2 linked regions of the Callithrix jacchus genome follow. The protein of the gene in region 1 interacts with the protein of each later gene in a pairwise test. Links are inferred from orthologs where the notes say so. Each region holds a gene or a part of one and is shown on either strand. Other genes may lie near its edges.

Evidence for each region.
Region 2: the proteins of CDC25B (region 1) and CDK2 interact in a two-hybrid assay, tested with the Homo sapiens proteins (2 studies listed by BioGRID and IntAct). The link is inferred for Callithrix jacchus from reciprocal best matches to the Homo sapiens genes CDC25B and CDK2.

What each region holds. Positions count from the first base shown.
Region 1 is NC_133506.1:11,330,232-11,334,729, forward strand, and holds part of CDC25B (M-phase inducer phosphatase 2), read left to right. Parts: intron 1-184; coding exon 185-265; intron 266-386; coding exon 387-563; intron 564-742; coding exon 743-838; intron 839-1,664; coding exon 1,665-1,727; intron 1,728-1,878; coding exon 1,879-1,977; intron 1,978-2,168; coding exon 2,169-2,302; intron 2,303-3,465; coding exon 3,466-3,577; intron 3,578-3,716; coding exon 3,717-3,857; 3' UTR 3,858-4,498. UniProt on the Homo sapiens protein: Tyrosine protein phosphatase which functions as a dosage-dependent inducer of mitotic progression. Directly dephosphorylates CDK1 and stimulates its kinase activity.
Region 2 is NC_133510.1:63,708,259-63,713,554, reverse strand, and holds the start of CDK2 (cyclin-dependent kinase 2), read left to right. Parts: upstream 1-2,188; 5' UTR 2,189-2,423; coding exon 2,424-2,539; intron 2,540-3,265; coding exon 3,266-3,343; intron 3,344-3,455; coding exon 3,456-3,576; intron 3,577-4,183; coding exon 4,184-4,354; intron 4,355-4,877; coding exon 4,878-4,979; intron 4,980-5,296. Other genes in the region: melanocyte protein PMEL, read right to left, coding at 1,049-1,124. UniProt on the Homo sapiens protein: Serine/threonine-protein kinase involved in the control of the cell cycle; essential for meiosis, but dispensable for mitosis. Phosphorylates CABLES1, CTNNB1, CDK2AP2, ERCC6, NBN, USP37, p53/TP53, NPM1, CDK7, RB1, BRCA2, MYC, NPAT, EZH2.

The DNA of each region.
Region 1 (4,498 bases):
AAACTCTGGCCAGAGAAGAGCAGGTGGCTGGTGCCACAGTGGAGGGGAGGTTCAGTAGGGGGAGCTTCTCACCTGAGTCTGGGGCTTGCCAGGGAAACGGAAAGCGGTGCTGAAGGATTCAGGGACTAGAGGGGTTTGGCTTGTGCGTGTGGGTGTGACCCTGTCCTTGCTAATCTGGCCTCAGGACGATGATGCAGTCCCCCCGGGCATGGAGAGCCTCATTAGCGCCCCACTGGTCAAGACCTTGGAAAAGGAAGAGGAGCAGGTGGGCCTCTGGGATGGCCTCCTCCGAATTTGGAGGCATGGGGTCCATCCTACCCTCTGGTGGATTTGAGGGATGGGATGGGGCCTGGGCACTCTGATCCCTGATCTGCTGTCCCTGCCAGGACCTCATCATGTACAGCAAGTGCCAGCGGCTCTTCCGCTCTCCATCCATGCCCTGCAGCGTGATCCGGCCCATCCTCAAGAGGCTGGAGCGGCCCCAGGACAGGGACACGCCAGTGCAGAATAAGCGGAGGCGGAGTGTGACCCCTCCGGAGGAGCAGCAGGAGCCTGAGGAACCTGTGAGTGCCTTCCTCCTGGGCCCACTTAGGTATATACCTGGGCGGCCAACTCCTTGACTAAGTTTGTGGCAGAGGGCAGGTGGCAGCCTGGGCATGGCAGGGAAATGGGGTACCAGCCAGACAGGGCACTGAGGGCAGCCCCACCCCTGACCCTGGCCTCCATCTGACTCACTTTCCAGAAAGCCCGAGTCCTCCGCTCAAAATCACTGTGTCATGATGAGATCGAGAACCTCCTGGACAGTGACCACCGAGAGCTGATTGGAGATTACTCTAAGGTACCTGTGGCATCGAAGGAGTCTGGGGGGCTGGACCTGTTACTGACTAGGAACCCTCTAGCCCAGGGGCTGCTTGGGTTCCTCCCTCTCTCCCAGAGCCCCCATTTTCTTTGTCCTTTGTATCTTTTTTTTTTTGAGATGGAGTCTTGCTCCCATCCTGCAGGCTGGAGTGCAGTGGCATGATCTCAGCTCACTGCAACCTCTAACTCCTGGGTTCAAGCAATTCTCCTTCCTCAGCCTCCCAAGTAGTTGGGATTACAGGCATGTGCCACCATGCCCAGCTAATTTTTGTATTTTTAGCAGAGACAGGTTTTCGCCATGTTGGCCAGGCTGGTCTTGAAATCCAGACCTCAGGTGATCCACCCACCTTCGCCTCCCAAAGTGCTGGGATTACAGGCGTGAGCCACCACGTGGGTTGTCCTTTATATCTTTTTATCCTTTGTTCTTACACAGACTCCTCCCTCTGGCCCTCCTTGGTCCCCTGACTCTACCTCAAGTTACTCCAGCCATCTGTTGTATCTCCATCTTATTTCCAAGCTCATACCTAGCTTGGAACCCCCTCATGCCTCACCTGTGGGCTTGGCAGAGGGTAGGGAGCAGAGTGTGGGGTCCATCTCTTCCGCTTCCCTTTTTCGTTTTCCTTTCCCCTTGGAAGGTTGTTCCCTAGGTGTCAGACCCAAGAGGTGCTTCTCAGTTGCTATGGGAACCAGAGCTGAATTTGAAGGCCAAAGCAGGTGTGGCCTCTGGGCTTGAAAATGAAACTTCATCCTTTTCAGGCTCCTGGTCTTACCAATTTAACTTTCTCCATCCCTTCCCTTCCCTTCAGGCCTTCCTCCTACAGACTGTCGATGGAAAGCACCAAGACCTCAAGTACATTTCACCAGAAACGGTAAACAGCATTGCACTATTTTCTGGGCGCATTTAGGACTGCAGCTCCGTTGTTGACCTTCCCTGGGGACGGGCTGCATAGACTAGGCCAGAGGACAGGCTAGGGCCATCTGCCAGCTGCCATCCTGACCGACTCCCATGACCTCCTATAGATGGTGGCCCTGTTGATGGGCAAGTTCAGCAACATCGTGGAGAAGTTTGTGATTGTGGACTGCAGATACCCCTATGAGTATGAAGGTGGGCACATCAAGGTAAGGTGGGGAGAGGCCTTGAAGATCCCACCTGGTTTAGGTCCTTGCTTTGCTAAGAGAGTGAATGGAGGACGGGTACGCCCTCTCATGGGGAGTTCCTGACCAGTAAGAGGAGGACAGGGACTGCAGGGGGAGGAGCCTGCCTCCTGGGAGGGGCCCCGGGCTGTGCCTGACCTCTGGCTTCCTGGCAGACTGCGGTGAACTTGCCTCTGGAACGAGACGCCGAGAGCTTTCTGTTGCAGAGCCCCATCACACCCTGTAGCCTGGACAAGAGAGTCATCCTCATTTTCCACTGTGAATTCTCATCTGAGCGTGGGCCCCGAATGTGAGTCCCAGCTCCACCCAGCCAGCCAGTGTTTGCCCCAGCCTTCCCTGCCCAGGCTTACATGTGCTGGCACCATTGTGATGGCCAGGTGCTGTGGATGCCAGCAGAGCAGGTTCCAATGGAGACCTAACAGCACTGAACACTGGAAGGGTCAGGGTCACTGGAGACTGACACAGGGCCCTTAGATTTTGAGAAAGGCACTGCTAGAGACTTGGAACCAGATTTGCTGGACTGTCCCACCTGATGGCCTGGAGCTGACCTCAGCCCCTCTTCACTGTGCATGGTACCCACCTCCCTTCCCCCTCACAGTCCTGCCTATCAGGCCTCATGTCTGCAACCCCATCCTTGCCGCCACCCACCAGAAAATCTGGTTCCAAGTCTCTAGCAGTGCCTTTCTCAAAATCCAAGGGCCCTGTGTCAGTCTCCAGTGACCCTGACCCTTCCAGTGTTCGGTGCTGTTAGGTCTCCATTGGAACCTGCTCTGCTGGCATCCACAGCACCTGGGCCTCCCCAACCCTGGCTGAGCTCCTTCCATCTCTGTTCCTGCTCTGCCTGGCCATCCGTCCTCCCACCCTTACCTCTTCCTGGGTTGCCACTGGTCCATCTGACTGCTAGTGGCTCTCCAGCCTGGCCTCACCCATGTGCTGGGAATCTGCACCCAGATGCCCCTTACAGAGACCTCATCCCTGCTGCCCTCCCATTTTCTCCAGGCATCCCAGCACATGGCACCCACCTCTACCCAGGCACTGGGCCTGGGCACTGGCTTCAGTCTTGGGCCCTCCTCCTCCCTTCTCCCCACCACTGGTCCTCACTGGGTCTTATCCACGAGTGACCTGAATGGATCGCTTGAATTTGGCCCACTTGTCTCCTCTCCTGCTTTTCCTTTCCTGGTCCAGGCACAGATATCGCTAACAAAGATGGTGCAACTGTCTTCTAGAAATGGAGAGCCCATTCCCTTGATTTTACCTTCTTCCTTCCACCTCCCCCACCCTCTTCTGTATAGCCAGACTGATCTGAAAGTGTTCTTGTGGTTACATTCCTGTACTCAAAAGCCTTCTGTGGCTTCCCAGGGCCCTCAGAGGAGTGGATGTGGGGAATAGGTCCCATGATGTACAAGCCACTGCATGCCCCGCTCTGACCACACCCTGCCCGTGCCATCTCAGGTGCCGTTTCATCAGGGAGCGAGACCGTTCTGTCAATGACTACCCCAGCCTCTACTATCCCGAGATGTATATCCTGAAAGGCGGCTACAAGGAGTTCTTCCCTCAGCACCCGGTAGCGTGGGTGGCAATGCCACCAGCTCTGTGTGAGGGTTGGCTTGGCCATTCCCGAGCCCTGGGAAGCGGGGTGGGAGGGTTGGGTCCCTGCCAAGGTTACCCATTCCACTGCATTGACCCCTCTTATCCTGCCCTAGAACTTCTGTGAACCGCAGGACTACCGGCCCATGAACCACCAGGCCTTCAAGGATGAGCTAAAGACCTTCCGCCTGAAGACCCGCAGCTGGGCTGGGGAGCGGAGCCGGCGGGAGCTCTGCAGCAGGCTGCAGGACCAGTGAGGGGCCTGCATCGGTCCTGTTACCTCCCTTGCCTTTCAAGGCCTGGAGCCAGCTGCCCTACGGGCCTGCTTGGCTGAGGGCCTGCTGGAGGCCTCAGGTGCTGTCCTTGGGAAAGATGGTGTGGGTATCCTGCCTGTCTGCCCCAGCCCCGATTCCCCTGTTTCATCCCATCATTTTCCATATCCTGGTGCCCCCACACTCCTGGAAGAGCCCAGTCTGTTGAGTTAGTTAAGCTGGGTTAATACCAGCTTAAAGGCAGTATTTTGTGTCCTCCAGGAGGTTTTTCCCTTGTTAGGGTTAACCCTTCATCTTCCTGTGTCCTGAAAAGCTCCTTTGTATGTGTGTCAGCTGAGGCTGGGGGACAGCCCTGGTCCCCAAGGATGGGTCACAGCTAAACTCCTTCCTGGCCTGGGAGTCAGCTCTCTGCCCTGTGCATCTCCCAGGCCACAGCAGCCCCTAACCTCTGTAGGAACCATGGTATGTCTGCCATGTTGCCCCTCTCTCTTGTTCTCTTTCCTGTCCCGCCATATGAGCACCTCCAGCCTGAACAGAAGCTCTTACTCGTTCCTGTTTCAGTGTTACCTGCGTGCTTGGTCTGTTTGACTTTATACCCACCTCAGGACCCTTTCGTAGGCTATTTA
Region 2 (5,296 bases), on another chromosome or scaffold:
GTTATACTTCAGGCACTAATTGTGCCTGGGGTCTGCACAGTTCTTCCTCGGTAACCACGGGGGGTGTTACCCACACAGAGTCTTGCTCTGTTGCCCCAGCTGGAATGCAGTGGCACGATCTTGGCTCCCTGCAACCTCCACCTTCCAGGTTCAAGGTTCAAGTGATTCTTGTGCCTCAGCCTCCCGAGTAGCTGGGATGACAGGCATGCACCACCATGCTAGCTAATTTTTGTATTTTTAGTAGAGATGGGGTTTCACCATATTGGCCAGTCTGGTCTTGAACTCCTGACCTCAAGTGATCCACCCGCCTCAGCCTCCCAAAATGCTGGGATTACAGGTGTGAGCCACTGCACCAGGACTCATCCCTTTCTAATGTGTGCTGTAACCCTAGTTGACTCTGCTGGGGGAGAATCTGGATCATCTCATTGAGCATCCTACCACTAAAGCAGGAGAAGTCATAAGATACCCTATTCTTTCTCCACTTCCAACTCTCCCTCCTCAGAGCAGCACGAGACATTCCAGACCCTCTCACCAACCACCCCCCTCCACCCCCCCTCCCCCGCTCCTGTCACGAGGCCCAATCCCCCAGAGCCTTTTCATGTGATGCTCAGCTGAGACCCCTTTGCCTATCTCTCTCTCAGTCCCAGAACAAAATTTCTGGGCTGTGTTCACCCGTACCCATCCCAAGAGATGTATCTCCTTAGTCTTCTTACCCAATACCACATTTTCTGACTCCCCACTTTAAATCCCCCACCCCAAGAGACATTTCATCCCTTTGGAGCCCCTGCTCCAGCTCACTGCCAAGGAAGCCTCAGAATCAGTGCCACAGACCTTCTATCCTTCGCCCCTCCAAGCATATGAAATTATTTTCAGGCTCAATCCCAAATCTCCATGTAGGGAGGGAGCCCAGGTGCCCACAACCTCACAAACCAAATAGGAGGGAGAAGCCTGAAATATTGCCAGTATCTCCCATTAGGAGGAGAGAAACCAGAGCAGGGGAATTCATCCCCAAGTTCACACTTGCTCATGTCCACATATCCGCACATACCTTTTGTAGCCCCCACAGCCAGTAAAGCACCTATCACAGCCAAATGGAGAAAGCACCTTTTCATCACCAGACGCATTGTGTTCTTCCCTCCAGCAACCAAAGACACTGAGGGGCTGGGATAGGCCCCTATATAAGAAAAGGGTGCTCATTTGCATAGCCCTTCCTCTTCTCCTTCAGAGAATGCCTGGGAGGGGCCGGAGGAGAGGAAAAAGAAAAAACAAACTGACAAAGGGAACCTGGGCCCTAGACATTGCTTTCCCATCCTGCTACTCAATGACAGTTTCTGGTTTCACAGGGTCATTCTCATCTTGATACACTCTCGGGCAAGAGCTGACTGAAAGGCAGCTGCATAACACATACCAGACACAACAGTTCATCATGGGAGAGTGAATTAAACCAGGAATTTCTCAAATAGACAGAAACAAGGGCGGGCGCGGTGGTTCGCACCTGTAAGTAATCCCAGCACTTTGGGAGGCTGACGCGGGTGGATCATGAGGTCAGGAGTTCAAGACCAGCCTGGCCAACATGGAGAAACCCCATCTCTACTAAAAATACAAAATTAGCCGGGCATGGTGGCACATGCCTGTAACCCTAGCCACTCGGGAGGCTGAGGCAGGAGAATTGCTAGAACTCGGGAGGCGGAGGTTGCGGTGAGCCGAGATCGCGCCATTGCACTACAGCCTGGGCAACAAGAGGGAAACTCCGTCTCAATAAAAAGGAAACAAAAAGAACCCTGCACCCCAAAACAGAGACAGCGTTGGGGTAGGCTATGAGGCGGAGGCAACGACTCTTCCGAGGCCAAGGAATCCTTTACAACGAGATCCCTGACTTCCTGCTTTTCAAAGGAGGCTCCTGGGCCAGGTGGAATTTAACCTTAAGTCGATACATATTTTCCCCGGGAGTGGTGGAAATAGTGAGTTAGAAATCAAGAAATCCCTACAGACTAGAAACATAGAAACTCGGACCCTAAGCAGGTACTTGGAAAGAGTGTTCAGCCGCCCCACCGGGAAAGAAACTTGTCTAGCCCCCAAGAACCAAACTTGCCTGGGGCGGGGTCATTTGCGGGGAGGAGCTCTGGGCTGCCCCCCCCGCTCTGACGTTGACCAATAAGAAGGTCTGGGGGCGGAGCCAGGGAAACGCGGGAAGGTGGGGCGGGGCCTCTGGTGGCGGTCGGGAACTCTGGGGGAGGCGGCAACATTGTTTCAAGTTGGCCAAATTGACAAGAGCGAGAGGTATACAGCGTTCCATCCCGACGCCGGGCCACGGTACTGGGCCCTGTTTCCCCCTCCTCGGCCTCCGAGAGCTAGGGACCGCCTTCTGCAGGGTTCCCAGGCCCCCGCTCCAGGGCCGGGCAGACCCAACTCGCTGGCGCTTCATGGAGAACTTCCAAAAGGTGGAAAAGATCGGAGAGGGCACGTACGGAGTTGTGTACAAAGCCAGAAACAAGTTGACGGGAGAAGTTGTGGCGCTTAAGAAAATCCGCCTGGACACGTGAGTGGCCTCTGTACCCGGGACTCCTAAGGGGACCTCCTTAACTGTGCCCCCCAACCCCCCACGGGCGGGTAGCGGTCCAGCGACCGGAAGAGAGCAGGGAGGGACTTCTTTAGAAGTAGAGGGGTGGGTTGGGGGCCTGTAGAAGGTGGAGAGTACAGGGTGGTGTAGAATCTATGGAAAACTTTCTTCTCAAACTGAGCCCGATGGCGTCCCCAAATTGTGCGACCACAGAGACTCGGGGAGAGAAAGGAGGCCTCTGAGATGAAGTCCAAGACTCTCCATGGAGTTGAGTTATGTGGGAACAGACGAGTAGCGCCTTTCTGAATGAAGAGCCCTCCTCACTGCCCCACCCTCACCTAAGAATTCTCTCCTCTTTCCAAAGAATGGCAGTTGAACCTCACTGGCCCCTCTGGGGAGGTTGGGTGCTACTCCTGCATTTTTAAATTTATTTTTTATTTTCTCACCCGTTACAGTCTCCCTGCTTTACCTTCACCAGGCAGCTTTACTTACCTACCCCTGGGAAAAGAGGAGATAATGACCTTAATATGTCCAAAAGCCACACCCTGACTACCCAGGAATTAGCTCCTTCCAGCACCCTTTCTCTTCTCTCACTTTCCTAGGGGGTGCTGGGTGGTGCCTCCTTGGGGGAAAGAAATGACTGGGAGGGGGAAAAAGGAGTGTTTGTAACCATATTCCCATCTCTGTTTTCCCAACCTCTCCAAGTGAGACTGAGGGTGTGCCCAGTACTGCCATCCGAGAGATCTCTCTGCTTAAGGAGCTTAACCATCCTAATATTGTCAAGTAAGTATGTGTCTGAGAGTAGATCCAGTTGGAAAGAAGGATGAGTTCTGTCTGTACAGTGTGGCCATTTCTCTCTCTCGCACCTCCATTTCCTTGACCTTTCCTTCTCTAGGCTGCTGGATGTCATTCACACAGAAAATAAACTCTACCTGGTTTTTGAATTTCTGCACCAAGATCTCAAGAAATTCATGGATGCCTCTGCTCTCACTGGCATTCCTCTTCCCCTCATCAAGGTAATGCTTCTCATCAGCTCCCCCCTATCATGGACGTGTCTTGGGGGACTGATGGCAGGCAATTCTGGGTGATATTTTATGATCTTGGCCTTCTTCTGAGCCCTCATCTACTACACACACACACTCCCCTTCTTTTTGTGTCTTCTTCCCTGCTCATTATACTCATTAACTCCAGGGTTGGACTGAAGAATCAAAGTTGAAACTCTAGTGAGTCAACCTAGCAACTCAGGTGGGAGGTCAGATGAAACTCAGATAAATGGGATTTGAGAGCACCTGGTAAATTCCTCCAAAAAGCCCTTCTGTTTGGTGGAAGAACTAGCCAATGAGTCTATTATCTATTTTAGGGCTGGATTCTTCACTCCCAGAGCTACTTTGAATCTATTAACAAACATTTATTCAATGCGCAGCATATAGAAAAGGAATGCAAAGTTGAGTAAGACTTGCTCCTTATCCTCTCTGGGCTGACAGTTTAATGGGAGAAATACCTTGTAAATATGTAATTATAATCCAACGCAGTAAAGGCCTTAGTAGAACCATGGGGGCGCAGAGCAAACCCAATCTGCTCATTGTGGTGAAGAAACACAGTCCTCTCTTTCTCCTTTGTCAGAGCTATCTATTCCAGCTGCTCCAGGGCCTAGCTTTCTGCCATTCTCATCGGGTCCTACACCGAGACCTTAAGCCTCAGAATCTGCTTATAAACACAGAAGGGTCCATCAAGCTAGCAGACTTTGGACTAGCCAGAGCTTTTGGAGTCCCTGTTCGTACTTATACCCATGAGGTGAGTCCCTTTTTGCCTTTCTTCTCTGAGTTTCCCAAGAGGTGTTAACTAGGGCATTCACAAAGTTACTAAAAATATCTGGCCAACAGTTTCTTACTAGGTAGAAGTAATCTCTTGACATCCTAAAGAGTCCTAGGGTATGCATGGAATTCATACTGTGTTGCTAACTGGGCTCACGCCTGTAATACCAACACTTTGGGAGGCTGAGGTGGGATAATCACTTGAGCCCAGGAGTTCGAGACCATCATGGGCAACATAGCAAGACCACTCTCTACAGAAATAAAAAATCAAATAAAATTATGATGACCATTTGTCTCAAGTTTTTCCAGAAAGATCTCAAATTGGGGTTTCAGAAAACATGGTCTCCAGAACTATGGACTGAAAATCAGTGGGAGGGCAAAGATGGAGGGAAGGAAACTGCTTGTTAAGAGGCCAAGAGTTAGCAGAGTAATGCTGAGGAACTGAGATTTGGGACTCTCTGTACCCTATAAACCACCCCACCCTCCCTATTCTTGTCCCTCAGGTGGTCACCCTGTGGTACCGAGCTCCTGAAATCCTCCTGGGCTGCAAATACTACTCCACAGCTGTGGACATCTGGAGCCTGGGCTGCATCTTTGCTGAGATGGTATGGAGGCTTGCCCAAGTTCCACCCAGCCCCGTTCTCCCCACATCCAAGAACAACAGAACTGTTCTTGGCCCAGACCTATGATGCTTCTATCACAGGGTTCTCTTTCTAAAGTAGCACCAAGGGGAATGGTGAGGAAAGGATGCAACTGTTACCCCAATATCAACCACAATGTTAGGATATCCAACAACAGCCTTAGTACCTAGTATACATCTCTATCCCTGAAATGAGGTAAAACATTTCTGCATCTGTTTTAACCATAGTCTGCATATATTTGGGAGAATGATTCCATTTAGTGCCTCTTTTATTTTAGGGCT